Neodiprion lecontei: one gene and its partners. The protein of the gene in region 3 purifies or fractionates together with the protein of the main gene of each other region. This does not show direct contact. Links are inferred from orthologs where the notes say so. Each region holds a gene or a part of one and is shown on either strand. Other genes may lie near its edges.

What was found.
Region 1: the proteins of regulation of nuclear pre-mRNA domain-containing protein 1B (region 3) and DNA-directed RNA polymerase II subunit RPB7 purify together in Homo sapiens (affinity purification with mass spectrometry; 3 studies listed by BioGRID and IntAct, counting the BioPlex papers as one, with this or other methods). This does not show direct contact. The link is inferred for Neodiprion lecontei from reciprocal best matches to the Homo sapiens genes RPRD1B and POLR2G.
Region 2: the proteins of regulation of nuclear pre-mRNA domain-containing protein 1B (region 3) and GPN-loop GTPase 1 purify together in Homo sapiens (affinity purification with mass spectrometry; 3 studies listed by BioGRID and IntAct, counting the BioPlex papers as one, with this or other methods). This does not show direct contact. The link is inferred for Neodiprion lecontei from reciprocal best matches to the Homo sapiens genes RPRD1B and GPN1.

The regions. Positions count from the first base shown.
Region 1 is NC_060263.1:8,226,929-8,230,587, forward strand, and holds DNA-directed RNA polymerase II subunit RPB7, read right to left. Parts: upstream 2,815-3,659; 5' UTR 2,544-2,814; coding exon 2,532-2,543; intron 2,448-2,531; coding exon 2,338-2,447; intron 2,120-2,337; coding exon 1,960-2,119; intron 1,879-1,959; coding exon 1,828-1,878; intron 1,758-1,827; coding exon 1,692-1,757; intron 1,196-1,691; coding exon 1,124-1,195; intron 1,052-1,123; coding exon 1,018-1,051; intron 901-1,017; coding exon 887-900; 3' UTR 627-886; downstream 1-626. UniProt on the Homo sapiens protein: Core component of RNA polymerase II (Pol II), a DNA-dependent RNA polymerase which synthesizes mRNA precursors and many functional non-coding RNAs using the four ribonucleoside triphosphates as substrates.
Region 2 is NC_060262.1:18,441,570-18,445,327, forward strand, and holds the start of GPN-loop GTPase 1, read left to right. Parts: upstream 1-1,135; 5' UTR 1,136-1,193; coding exon 1,194-1,272; exon of another isoform or gene 1,273-1,506; intron 1,507-1,594; exon of another isoform or gene 1,595-1,684; intron 1,685-3,329; exon of another isoform or gene 3,330-3,429; intron 3,430-3,492; exon of another isoform or gene 3,493-3,590; intron 3,591-3,690; exon of another isoform or gene 3,691-3,758. Other genes in the region: ATP-dependent RNA helicase DDX24, read right to left, coding at 1-379, 779-976. UniProt on the Homo sapiens protein: Small GTPase required for proper nuclear import of RNA polymerase II (RNAPII). May act at an RNAP assembly step prior to nuclear import.
Region 3 is NC_060260.1:20,829,072-20,832,829, forward strand, and holds the start of regulation of nuclear pre-mRNA domain-containing protein 1B, read right to left. Parts: upstream 2,635-3,758; 5' UTR 2,523-2,634; coding exon 2,372-2,522; intron 280-2,371; coding exon 1-279. UniProt on the Homo sapiens protein: Interacts with phosphorylated C-terminal heptapeptide repeat domain (CTD) of the largest RNA polymerase II subunit POLR2A, and participates in dephosphorylation of the CTD by RPAP2. Transcriptional regulator which enhances expression of CCND1.

The DNA of each region.
Region 1 (3,659 bases), on a different chromosome or scaffold from region 3:
TTTTATTCATGTGGCTAGTAGCGTCATTTACCAAATGTAAAACAATGATAACCTGACACAATTCCGAACGATTTTCAATTAAAAGAGCAACTGGCGTTATGTGATGACAAATTGGGTGTTTCAATAGTAAAGACATTAACTTCTGCTTCTAGATAGATTTGACAAAGTAAAGCTCTAGTGAATAGGTAAGTTTTAGTTTAGTCACCGGTACACCAAATACTTGGAACATACAAAAGTGTAACTAATCAGTCTGAGATTCAAATTTTCGAGTGAGTGATGTTCTCAACAATTATCGACGATTGATTTGTATCACATACAAATGCAGTTTGTTGTTAGATTTTCATTACGTAGATTACATAATTTATTAAGAAACTGTGATGGTCAGATGATTGAATGTAGTCATTGACAAATTAAACCACGAGATGACGTTGAATGTAAGAGAGTTTACTTGCTTGTAAATTAAAAACGAAGCCACCGCTAAGCGTCATCTATAGCCCGTGAAAAAATAAAACTATTATGTATACATACTTGTACACCGTGCCTTTGGTTTATATTACTCCACTCAATCCTATATACCTAATCCGTGAAACAATTTCAAGTCCTGCACATATGAATGAAGAAACGTATCCCAAGATAAAAATTTATTTACACATAGAATTCAAACGTAATTCCTAACTTAAGTATCTTTTATTATCTTATAACCGATTTGGGCCATTGATTAATCATCTGAACTTGTCACAAACTAGTCATTTAGATGAATGTACAAACATCCCAGGATCAATTGTCACACTTTACATTGGTCGCCACTTCCTTCCGTGCCATAAATTATGTCAGTCCATGGATCGGATAATATGTTACATTTTCGAAGTACAGTAATTAGTTCCCATTACATCACCAAGCCTAGAATCCATGCATTCAAAACTAAATGTTAAAATCTAACATTCAATTAACAGTAAAGATATGTAAGTTCGAAAATGAAAAAAAAATGTATACAGAATAATCTAAACAGAATCTTACCAAGGAAATCATCCATTAAGGTACCAATGGCAAACTGAAAATGATTCACAGGAAAATTAATGAAATAAGTTCGTTAAAAAAATTCTTTGTAAATCTGTGTACTTACAATCCCTGTCGCATCAACTCTGGTACCGACAATTTTTAATCTTATTTCGTCATCTGCTTGAATTACTACATCCTGTAATTGAAAGAATAACAAATTGATTATCCTTAGATTGTTTCAGAAGAAACCTTCGAAACAACCTTCGATGTTCGATAAGAAATAACTTTGGGAAATGTTTCTATGAAGCACTAACATCGTGTACATGTTAGTTCAGTTATTTTTTGACATGAATTTTACTATCATTATGATTGTACCACGATAAATTCATCTTTTTGTATAACGTAACGTACCAAAGCCATTGCAATATTTAGCTAATTGTTTTATAATCAATAAAAGGTATTTCATATTCTTTGACAACAATGGCTTGTTCTCAATGACAAATTTTAATAGAAGATAGATAATAACACGAATTCAAAAATATATATTTCAGAATCAAGGCTAAATATTATTTTATCGTTTATCAAAAGCGATGTTCATAATTTTCTAAAACTAGCTAAAATTTGTATAAGCAAAAATATTATTTCCACAGAACATCACAATCCAATATCGAATTTCATAATAAATTTCTCACCTCTTCCTTTGACTTATAACAAGGTGGATTGACATTTGGACAAAATTGCATGTCGGCTGGAATGGACTGAAATAAAAGAAAACGAAAAATTTAGGTTTACATCAAATGATAAATGGGAAACAAAAAAAATACTCACGTGATGAGATATGAAACAAGACAATGGTCCTATTTCAGCGAACATGCCAACCTACAACCGTAAGACATACACAGAGTAATGTTTGTACGATTATGATCAAAACTCACATATCAACATAACAACTTGTTATACCTTATTGACTTGCGTTACGACTGCGTCCAGAACCTCTCCTTTGAAAGGTCGAAAAACAATAGCCTTATATTTTACGGGATATACAACGAAACCTTGTCCTGGCTGAATAATACCAGCTCCAATATTGTCTATCGTTGTCACTGCGACGACAAATCCATACCTATAGAAATTCGAGGTGAATAATGTTTTGTAAGTGAAATGCTTGACGTAATGGAAAATGTTGTCATTTATAACATTTAAAGTATAAGAATAAAGGCAGTTCCACTCTGTTCGTAATGTTTTGCGATGAGAAATAAGATTTGCATAATTTCAATCGCTATACCTGACTTCAATACCTATTTTCAAAAGCAATTCAATCAGTTATTAATTATCACATACTTTCCAGTGCACGTTCCCTCGACTTCAGTGTACAGTTTCTGTTTAACCGTATCAAGTAGCTGAGGTCCAAAGTATCTCGGATGCAACAAGATCTCATGCTCCAACGATATCTGTAATATGATGGCAATTTTGAGTCAAATCAACTCGAACTAAACACATTTCAATGCGAATAAGATAAGAGGAGGTTAACTTACGTGATAAAACATGTTGTTTTTTACCTCCGTTAACGGTCTTCAGCTATCCAACTTATTACTTTTTTTTTGTATTTACAGAATCTCTTGAAATCGATACCCTACTTTTCAGAAACTAAGTCTGACAGAATCTGTCACATTGGGGTTATGTTCGTACAGAATTACGCCGCGAAATGTGACTATGCGAGTGACCGTTGGAGTAACGCGGCAGTCAGGCGCGGGAAAATTGCTGCGCATGCCCAAAAAATAGCGCACGTTTGAAATTGTGGAACGTAATATTTCACGGAAAACCCATGATTGAAGATATATAAAGACTGATAGCCTTATGAGACTTTTCCTAATCGAAAATGGAAGAAATAAACTCATGTTCAAGCGGCGCCACCTGCATCCTACCTTGTACGCGCAACTCAACAGCGTAGCTGATGTTACCATCGCTCATCGAATAGTCGAATATAATTATGCCTATGGAATGACGAACGGGAACAGACTGAAATTTTCATACAACTCCGTGTGGACGCCGTATACCTACTTTTCAACTACGCAAATTCATTTAGGCCAAATTCAGCAATATCAATTTAAATCCATCGCATCGACAAAAATAATGCTATGTATATAGATGCACAATAAACATGCACTTGGTTTACTGTTGACAGAGTTGGAAACCGTTTCTTGATGCAAGGAATGGGAAACAGTCGAAGAAGTTAATCAAAGAATAGAGATATATAATTGTTCCTATATGTACCTTATGTAATTTTTGTAAATATGTTTAATACTTAACTCGGACCGTTAACTGAAGATAATAATATGTATCTTCAGTCAACGCTCATACTTTCATTTCAAAAAAAGATGCAGCTGAAATATAAAAATAATTTCTTAACTGACATCAGGGTTCCGTGATTTTATTATCGATGAAAGATGACTGCTTTAATTATAGATGAATGATGGTCGTTTTAATTATATATGAAGGGTGATCGTTTTTATCTTATATGTAAACGGCAATTAACTTTGGAAGTTCGCGCACGGTTTTTTTTTCTTATGAGGTACGAGGTAATCACTAAAATGGAGAACCTGGTGAATACGCAAAACAATCTACAACTAAACCAAGATCAAAAACACGAATAGCTGTAAAAT
Region 2 (3,758 bases), on a different chromosome or scaffold from region 3:
GAATTGGTGTCGGAGCTTGAAAACCTTGGTCAGCCAATGCTTTTACCAATATTTCAGGTACACCCAGCGAAGTCCATGAATGTACGTTTATATCTGATTTTAGATTGTCCAGATTGATCAGACATCCATCCTCTGCGTCAACCTCATGCCCGTTTTTATCCAAATTAGATTCGCTATCGGATCCAATACCAGACTCTTCTTCAATTAGATCAGATTGCTTTATACCACGTTTATCGTCGAATTTTTGCTTCTTCTTCTTCGGCTTCACTTTCTCTCCTTTCACAGCTGCTCTAAGTTTTTTCTTTTGAGCTGAATGCTCGTCTTCCTCGTCATTGTCAATCTGGTCATCGAGTTTCTGAGCCTTTTTCTTCTTGTTACCCTTGTTTGTTAAATATGATTCAATTTTCTTGTTATTAATATTAAAGAAAATTGGCAGAGCTATTGGTTATTCTCTGTAATGTTACTGACTACACGTCATAAATCAATCAACTAAAACTATGCTGTAAGCAGATTTTCCTTTCATGCACTGCGAAAGTTCGTTAATATTGTCCAGATACTGTAAGTTTTACAAATTTCTCAATCCCTTCAATATCCTTAATATGTATCATCTGTTATCGGTAGTGATTTAACTCTCGAAAGAAGAAGTGCTGCTCTATCGTACCAGAGTTATCTTGATATTTATTTCGTGTGCTTGTACATAATATTGAGACCATTGTTCGGTGAAAGGTATAGTATTAGAGATATTTAAAATTATTTCAATATGCAGGAAACCATTTACCTTGTCTAATTTGTCATCGGAGCGAGTTGCTTTTCGTTTTTTGGTTCCTTTTTCGAGACTGTAATCCGTCAATTCTTCAATTCCGATCAGGCCGTCAATACCTTCAGCAAAAAAGGCACCCTCCAATTTTAACGGTTTCCACGTCTTAGATTTATCCTTTTTGATTTTCCCCATTGCTTGTTTGTTTCGACTAAACATAACCTCGATTTGCGAGGAAAGAAACGCGCATATCACGACGAACACGTGCGAGCATTGAATTCGAAGCGAGTCAGATGACAGGGAAGTATAACTATATTATATAACCTAACTACCTAACTATAAAATTGAACCAAGCGGTGAAAATATGCACTAGAGTTAGTAAGTTATGCTGTACATAACGCAGTATCGGGTGATTTTGTTTTTGTAATTTTAATTAATGTATAAAATGAAATTTTGTCTACAAGAAATTTGTGAATTTGCTTGCACAAAGCCAAGCAATAAAAACTTCATTGGAGGTGAGGGTTTTAAATGCTGGACACGTGATAAAATGTGGACAAGTACCAATCAGTGGTTGCAATGTTATAAGTGTTTTAGCTTTTTGTTTACAAACATTAATTATTCATTATATTAAAAATAATCCCTATGAAATAACTGGTCAAATAATAAACGACGGTCGAATAATTGGAATGAGTTCTTCTTATAAGGCAGGTCATTCGTAAACACGTCGCAGTATTACTCCATTGCAACCGGTAAGATATTTTGTCACATTCATAACCTATAACAGTTATTTTATTTTTCCAACAATTAATTTATTAAAATCGATTTTTATTTTTACAGCAATGATTTGAAGAGCTTGCCAATGATTACTTGCACTCATAAAAAATGTGTATGGATTGGCTTCATGAATCTTCATTAGAAAAATAGAAGGCAAGCCATTACATGAACATGAGTGTCTTTTATCGGCGAAAAAAAAAATTTCCATGCTTAAAATATAAGGGAACAAAAGAAATTTAAGCTGGAGATGTTAACAACACTGAATCGATGGATTTTAATGAAAATTTACAGCTGTCTGAAAAGCAAGAAGTACAATTTTTTGCTCTAGCTTTACACGTGTAAATTTTACGCTGACATTTTATTTTTACATTTTTATCATCAATTTTTGACCTGATTTTTTTACACATATATCACTATTACAAATTCCTATTATTTGCATTACATATTTTTTCAAAGCCTGATTGCATGTTTTACAAATAATCATGTTTTATGAAAGAGTATTAAACTGCTACATAAATTGATTTTTAAAAACATTACGCTTTTTTGTCAAATCTAATTATGAAATTATTATTAATAAATTATTTCACAATTTCAATGATGTTGTGTTTTTATTTTATAATATTCTTTTCTCTCTTTCTGTTTTATTTACAGAATTACAAGACATGAGTATATCCAAGTTTCAAGCAATAACAATAGTGCTATCATTTGTTCAGGAAGAATTCTAGCTGTTTTTAGTAATCAAAAGTCCTCAGTCTTTCTCGATAAACTAGAAAAAATTGATGTTAATCCTCTTCAGAACTGCTGTAAGAAAATAGTCGAACAATATTAAATGGAGTTGCTCAACTACTGAATTTTATTCTGTTGGGAGAAAGAAAGACAATTTAGAATTACAGGAAGTGATCCAAGCTATAGATTATTTACTTATAGTAAAAATAAGAACTCGATTGGTAGTACAAATCATTAAAGTATTTTTATCCAACTGTGATAAGTAATACTTATACTAGACATGGTTTAAAATGAACCCACAGCATGTGAGCTTTATGAAAATTCCACACAGTTCAAAGTTGTTGAATGCAGTCTTATTATTGCACACAATAATCCTTAGCTCGGTTGCTCACCTGATGCTATTGTATTCGATGATTTTAAATCTATAAAAATAATTGAAATAAAATGTCCTCTCCTTTTTTTTTTATCAAGACTCAATTCTTCAGTACCTTCAGCTGTCAGTACCTTGTTTATAAGTGATCTCCTACGTATTCTTTCTTCTCTAGAATTTACATGACGAGTATATTTTGTAGTTGATCCTGGAGGAATATTTTGAGAAGGAACACTTATTTTCTTAAGTTAAGAATGAGTCGAACCAACAGCTATTACATGATGGTAAAAATTGTCTTTGTTAAAATGGAGTGAAAAGATCTTATACTGGTCATTACACTTTTTCCAATTCTCAACACTGGTCCAAGCTACGCGACTATCGCTTTTGTATTTATCACCAAAGTTGTTGATTCTATCGACGAAATCTTTATTGGGATGTGGAAGATGGAAAAACTTGATTTTTTCATCACCATAAGCTTTACATTGACAATCAAACACACAGCAATACACGTTACTTTTATTTTTTCGCGCAGGGAATTCCATAATCAAAACAATGACTTGGATCGACTATTCACTTTTTAAATCTTAATTATTAATCGAAAAACTAAAAAATAATATTAACATTTCCACATAAACAAATACATAGTCAGCTGTTAGCAATTCGAGCTACGCGCTCACGGTCAGATGTTGAATTTGGTCACTAGATAGCGTATCCGAAGACCACCTAGAATAAGATACCTATATCTAGAGTTGAACAACAGTTTCCCAATTGACACGCTTGTCGAATTCGAAGAAAATAACAGGTAGAGACTTAATAGATAATTTCCTAAAAATACATAAAAGCACTGATATATTATACATTTCAGTGAGGACTCTTAGCTTTCCAGGCCTGAGTTACACAATTTTTGATTGAGGACGTACCGGTATCTTTCGAGTCTCGTCAATATTTACAATAACTCCTTTTGTACGTATTAGGTTTGATTAATAACGTGTTATTTGTCGGTGTAAAACGTCGAGATACAAGTAGCCAATAATAATGCGTTGGATTGTAAGAACCTCTTGACAAATTAATCGTAAAAAATTCAACGCAAAAAAATCCTAACCTCTGATTCTTTTATTATGTCCAACCTCC
Region 3 (3,758 bases):
TAGGTGGTGGCGTTGATGGTTCTTTAACAGGTTCAACGGCTAAGTCAAAAGCTGCTTTGAACTCCGTTATTTGCACTTTGTCGTAGACACCTCTTTCCTCCCATATTTGCAGTAGCCTACCTAATCTCTCCCTTGTCTTGTCGTCAAATCTTTTCATGTGCTCGAAAGCCTTCGGCAGAATATTTCCAAATTCTTTGCCAAATTCTGGCCCTTTCTTTTTACTATTTTGTATCACATCATTCGCGAGATACATGAATATCAGCTTACGGTTGTTTTTGGCTGCAAACAAGGTTATTACTTAATTCTTTCCGATTCGTACAAAGATTGTGCATAATTTTTAGTTACATGCAATTGTAATTTAAAAATGTAGGTAAGATAAATAGACCAGTCATTAACCCAGGCACAATTGAATGACCATAATCACAGAAAGTTGCAGTAGCAGCAAGTAGAATGAAATTTTTGCACAGATACACTTGCAGATTACATGGAAATTGAACCTTGTTTTAGAATTTTCATTCAAGAAATTAGCTCAAAGACTAAAACTGGTATAAATAATGAAGTCAACTATTAAATCCAAATTCAGGACTTGAATAAGCACAAACACATGAAAAACAGACAGGGTATCTATTTGATATGTGTAATGCTGGTTTTCTTCGAAGTGTTCAAGAATTCGCTGCATGTTTTTCAAGAAAATTGTTTCAATTTTCAAACTACTACACACGGACTCTATGGACAGCATAAGAAATGATCTTAATAATAATATGAAATTAAGCGATGAAGAAAAATTATTTTTCAACAGGAATCGGAGAAATGCAAAATCTTGAGAATACTAGTTGAGAATAACTTAACTTTAACTTATTTTATCAACTTTTAACTAATAACTATTATAGTATTTCAAACATTCTTTCCGTATTGTTAACAAGTAATAAACAACTACAGTACATAAATAAAGGCAAGAGTCCCCTGGACTACTGTGAGTTTAATTAATGCATCTCAGACATTAGCTAAGCTGATTCGAAATTATTGCAGTTTGGTCAGCTGGTGTATTTTTATCTATATATTTCAAGCTATAGCTATTCGCACCATCAAATAACACATGTTACTTCAAACACTCCGAACGGATGTCCGTCGTTAATTTTTGAATGACAATAAGGTTACAATAAGATCAGCCTCAGTTATACCATTGCTCGGGTTTGCGTAAATTATTGTATTTTGATGCTATTTGAAAATATCGTAAGAAACATGAAATCGAAACTATGCATCGGTGTCTACTTTCTTCACAGTTATAAAATATATATGAAACGTAGCTCCGTTGTTGGGGAACAAAAGTTTTGGATTGATATGTTCGTGATTCAGACTTGACCACTCTTACCAGATAAAAAATTTGCAAATAAAAATTTAGAGCAACCCGTGTAGACTCACTCTGTAGCACAAATAGACATAGCATAGATCTTATGTGCGATGAAACATTTTTGTCAAATAATTTCAAAATCAATATTGAAGATATGAATAATTCATGAGCAATATTTAATGCACATTCATTTTCCACAGCTCGATGTATACAGATATCAAGCATAGATACATTTAGGATATAATGTCTATGACTATTCCATGTGTGTGATAAACTAATACAACTGAAAAAAAAAATATTATTCATGAGAATGCAGATGATAGCATTTGGCTCCGTTGCTCACAAGTGAATTTTTGCCAGATCCATTTGGAAAGGACTGTCTCTGCAGTGTTCGCTCCCAAGAGTTTTTTTTCTATAAGGTCTTTTTCTACATTCAAGAATTATTCGTCCAGAAACTGCATTTCAATGATTTGCAACACTTTAAAGGTCGAAATAAGCATATCTAAAATCACGATACACAATCCCTTGATAAACATGAGGAAGATGACTCTATCACTTCTAAGGCTGCAACAAATTAGGCTTTACTTTCTGTAGAAACTAATTCTTCACAATCAGGTAATGTGGGATTTTTTTCTGCAAACATAAACTCTGTAGAAACTATCTTGGTAATAGCCTCACAATTCATGTGGTAACAGAAACTATACAGTAGCAGAATTTTTATCCACGAACTCAAAACCAGTTTCATCTCCTTTTTAAGCACAGCTTATCAAGATCGTTCAATACAACCACCATGATTAAATTTATATACACTTTTATCTCATTTCGTTTGAACGAATATATCTACATCACTTGGAGATAACCTCAAAATTGCTGAAAAGTTAAAGACATTCCTAGGATGTTGCGTTAATTGTCTTCAACGTAAATTTTCATCAGCATTGGTAGCGGTTCCTTGTTTTCAGATATATTGAACAAAAGGATGGATGAATGGTTTGGCTGTACGTGACAGAAAATAATAGTTACCCTTGCACATCTCTTTGTACCAAACTTTGACGATCGTTGGATGATGTTTTCTGTGATGAATTAACCATAACGACAAGGTCTGAATGCTCTGCTGGGACGGGTTTAAATCCAGTAATTTTTTCACCAACGCACTTTCAGTGAAACCTGCCATTTTTATAATATTCTACGAATTTTTAAAAATTATCGGCACACGAAACCATCAAGATTTGCATTAACATAATCACACCAGCAGCTTGCCATCACATTTTAACGCTAGCAAGTGGCGCTGCTGGCTGACTGTTCAGTATCCGGCGTGCATAGTCAAAATTGGGGTGGGTTCGCATAGCTGCAACGTCGCGGTTGTGCGGGAACCAATAAACATGCATAAAATCCAGTGAACAGTATATTTCAAACATTGTGATTCGTTACCTCTCAACCGCACCCGTACCACGGCGCGTATATGAATCCAGCCTTAGGGTGCTATTTCATGAGCAGTAAGAAGCAGCAGCACTAGCAGTTTTCCCCTATCACTTCCGGCGCAAATTTCTGCTGCTCGCAGTTCAGTTTTTCGAGCGACAAGCCACAAGATCACAAGAAGCTACGACCTATTTCATGAGCAGCGCTGGTGCTGCGTAAAATTACCAGACTAATGCTAGTGAAAACTAGTAAGTTACTAAACCACTGCTGCTTTTTACTGCTCATGAAATATTACCCTTAAGGCTCGTTGTGTATTCGTTGTGTACGAAATCTAGTTACTTTTCAGCACCCATCACGACGGATCACGGAACAAACAAAAGTTACTAGATTCTGAACCAATATGAAGGCCTTCGAAAAGTGTCCGCTAGATTTAGACCTAATATATATATACACTGGATTGGATGTTACCGTATACTCTACGTGTAAGCTCGTGCGTCCAATTGAACAATTGAATTTCCGCCATCTTGTACAGAAAGTTGTCACAAAATGCGCGCTAGATTTGAACTGCGTAATATATGCTATTTAGATCTAACGATATATTCGTCACACAAAAAAGTTTTTGACGAGTAAAATAATGTTTGACACATTAAATGAAGAACAAATCATTTTTTCGAAAGTATATTATTATTTACAATTATATGGTGTAAAAGATCATTAAATAATATGACGAAAAACTTGTATTTAAGCGTCATTTTTCTTTATGTTCAAAAGAAGTCCTCAATTCTAAGAAGTTTCCGTCCATTATCCTTCATCCTATGGTGGGCTGAATTCCATACGGATTATTCAAAAATTTGTATAATACTAATTCAACCGTTAGGGAATCCATTTGCCATCCATTGATCATCAAAGTGGAGCTGAAGACATGTAAAAAAAAGTTTTGAATTAAATTATATCGAATTGGGTGAGTAAAAACTTTATTCAAAAATATGGA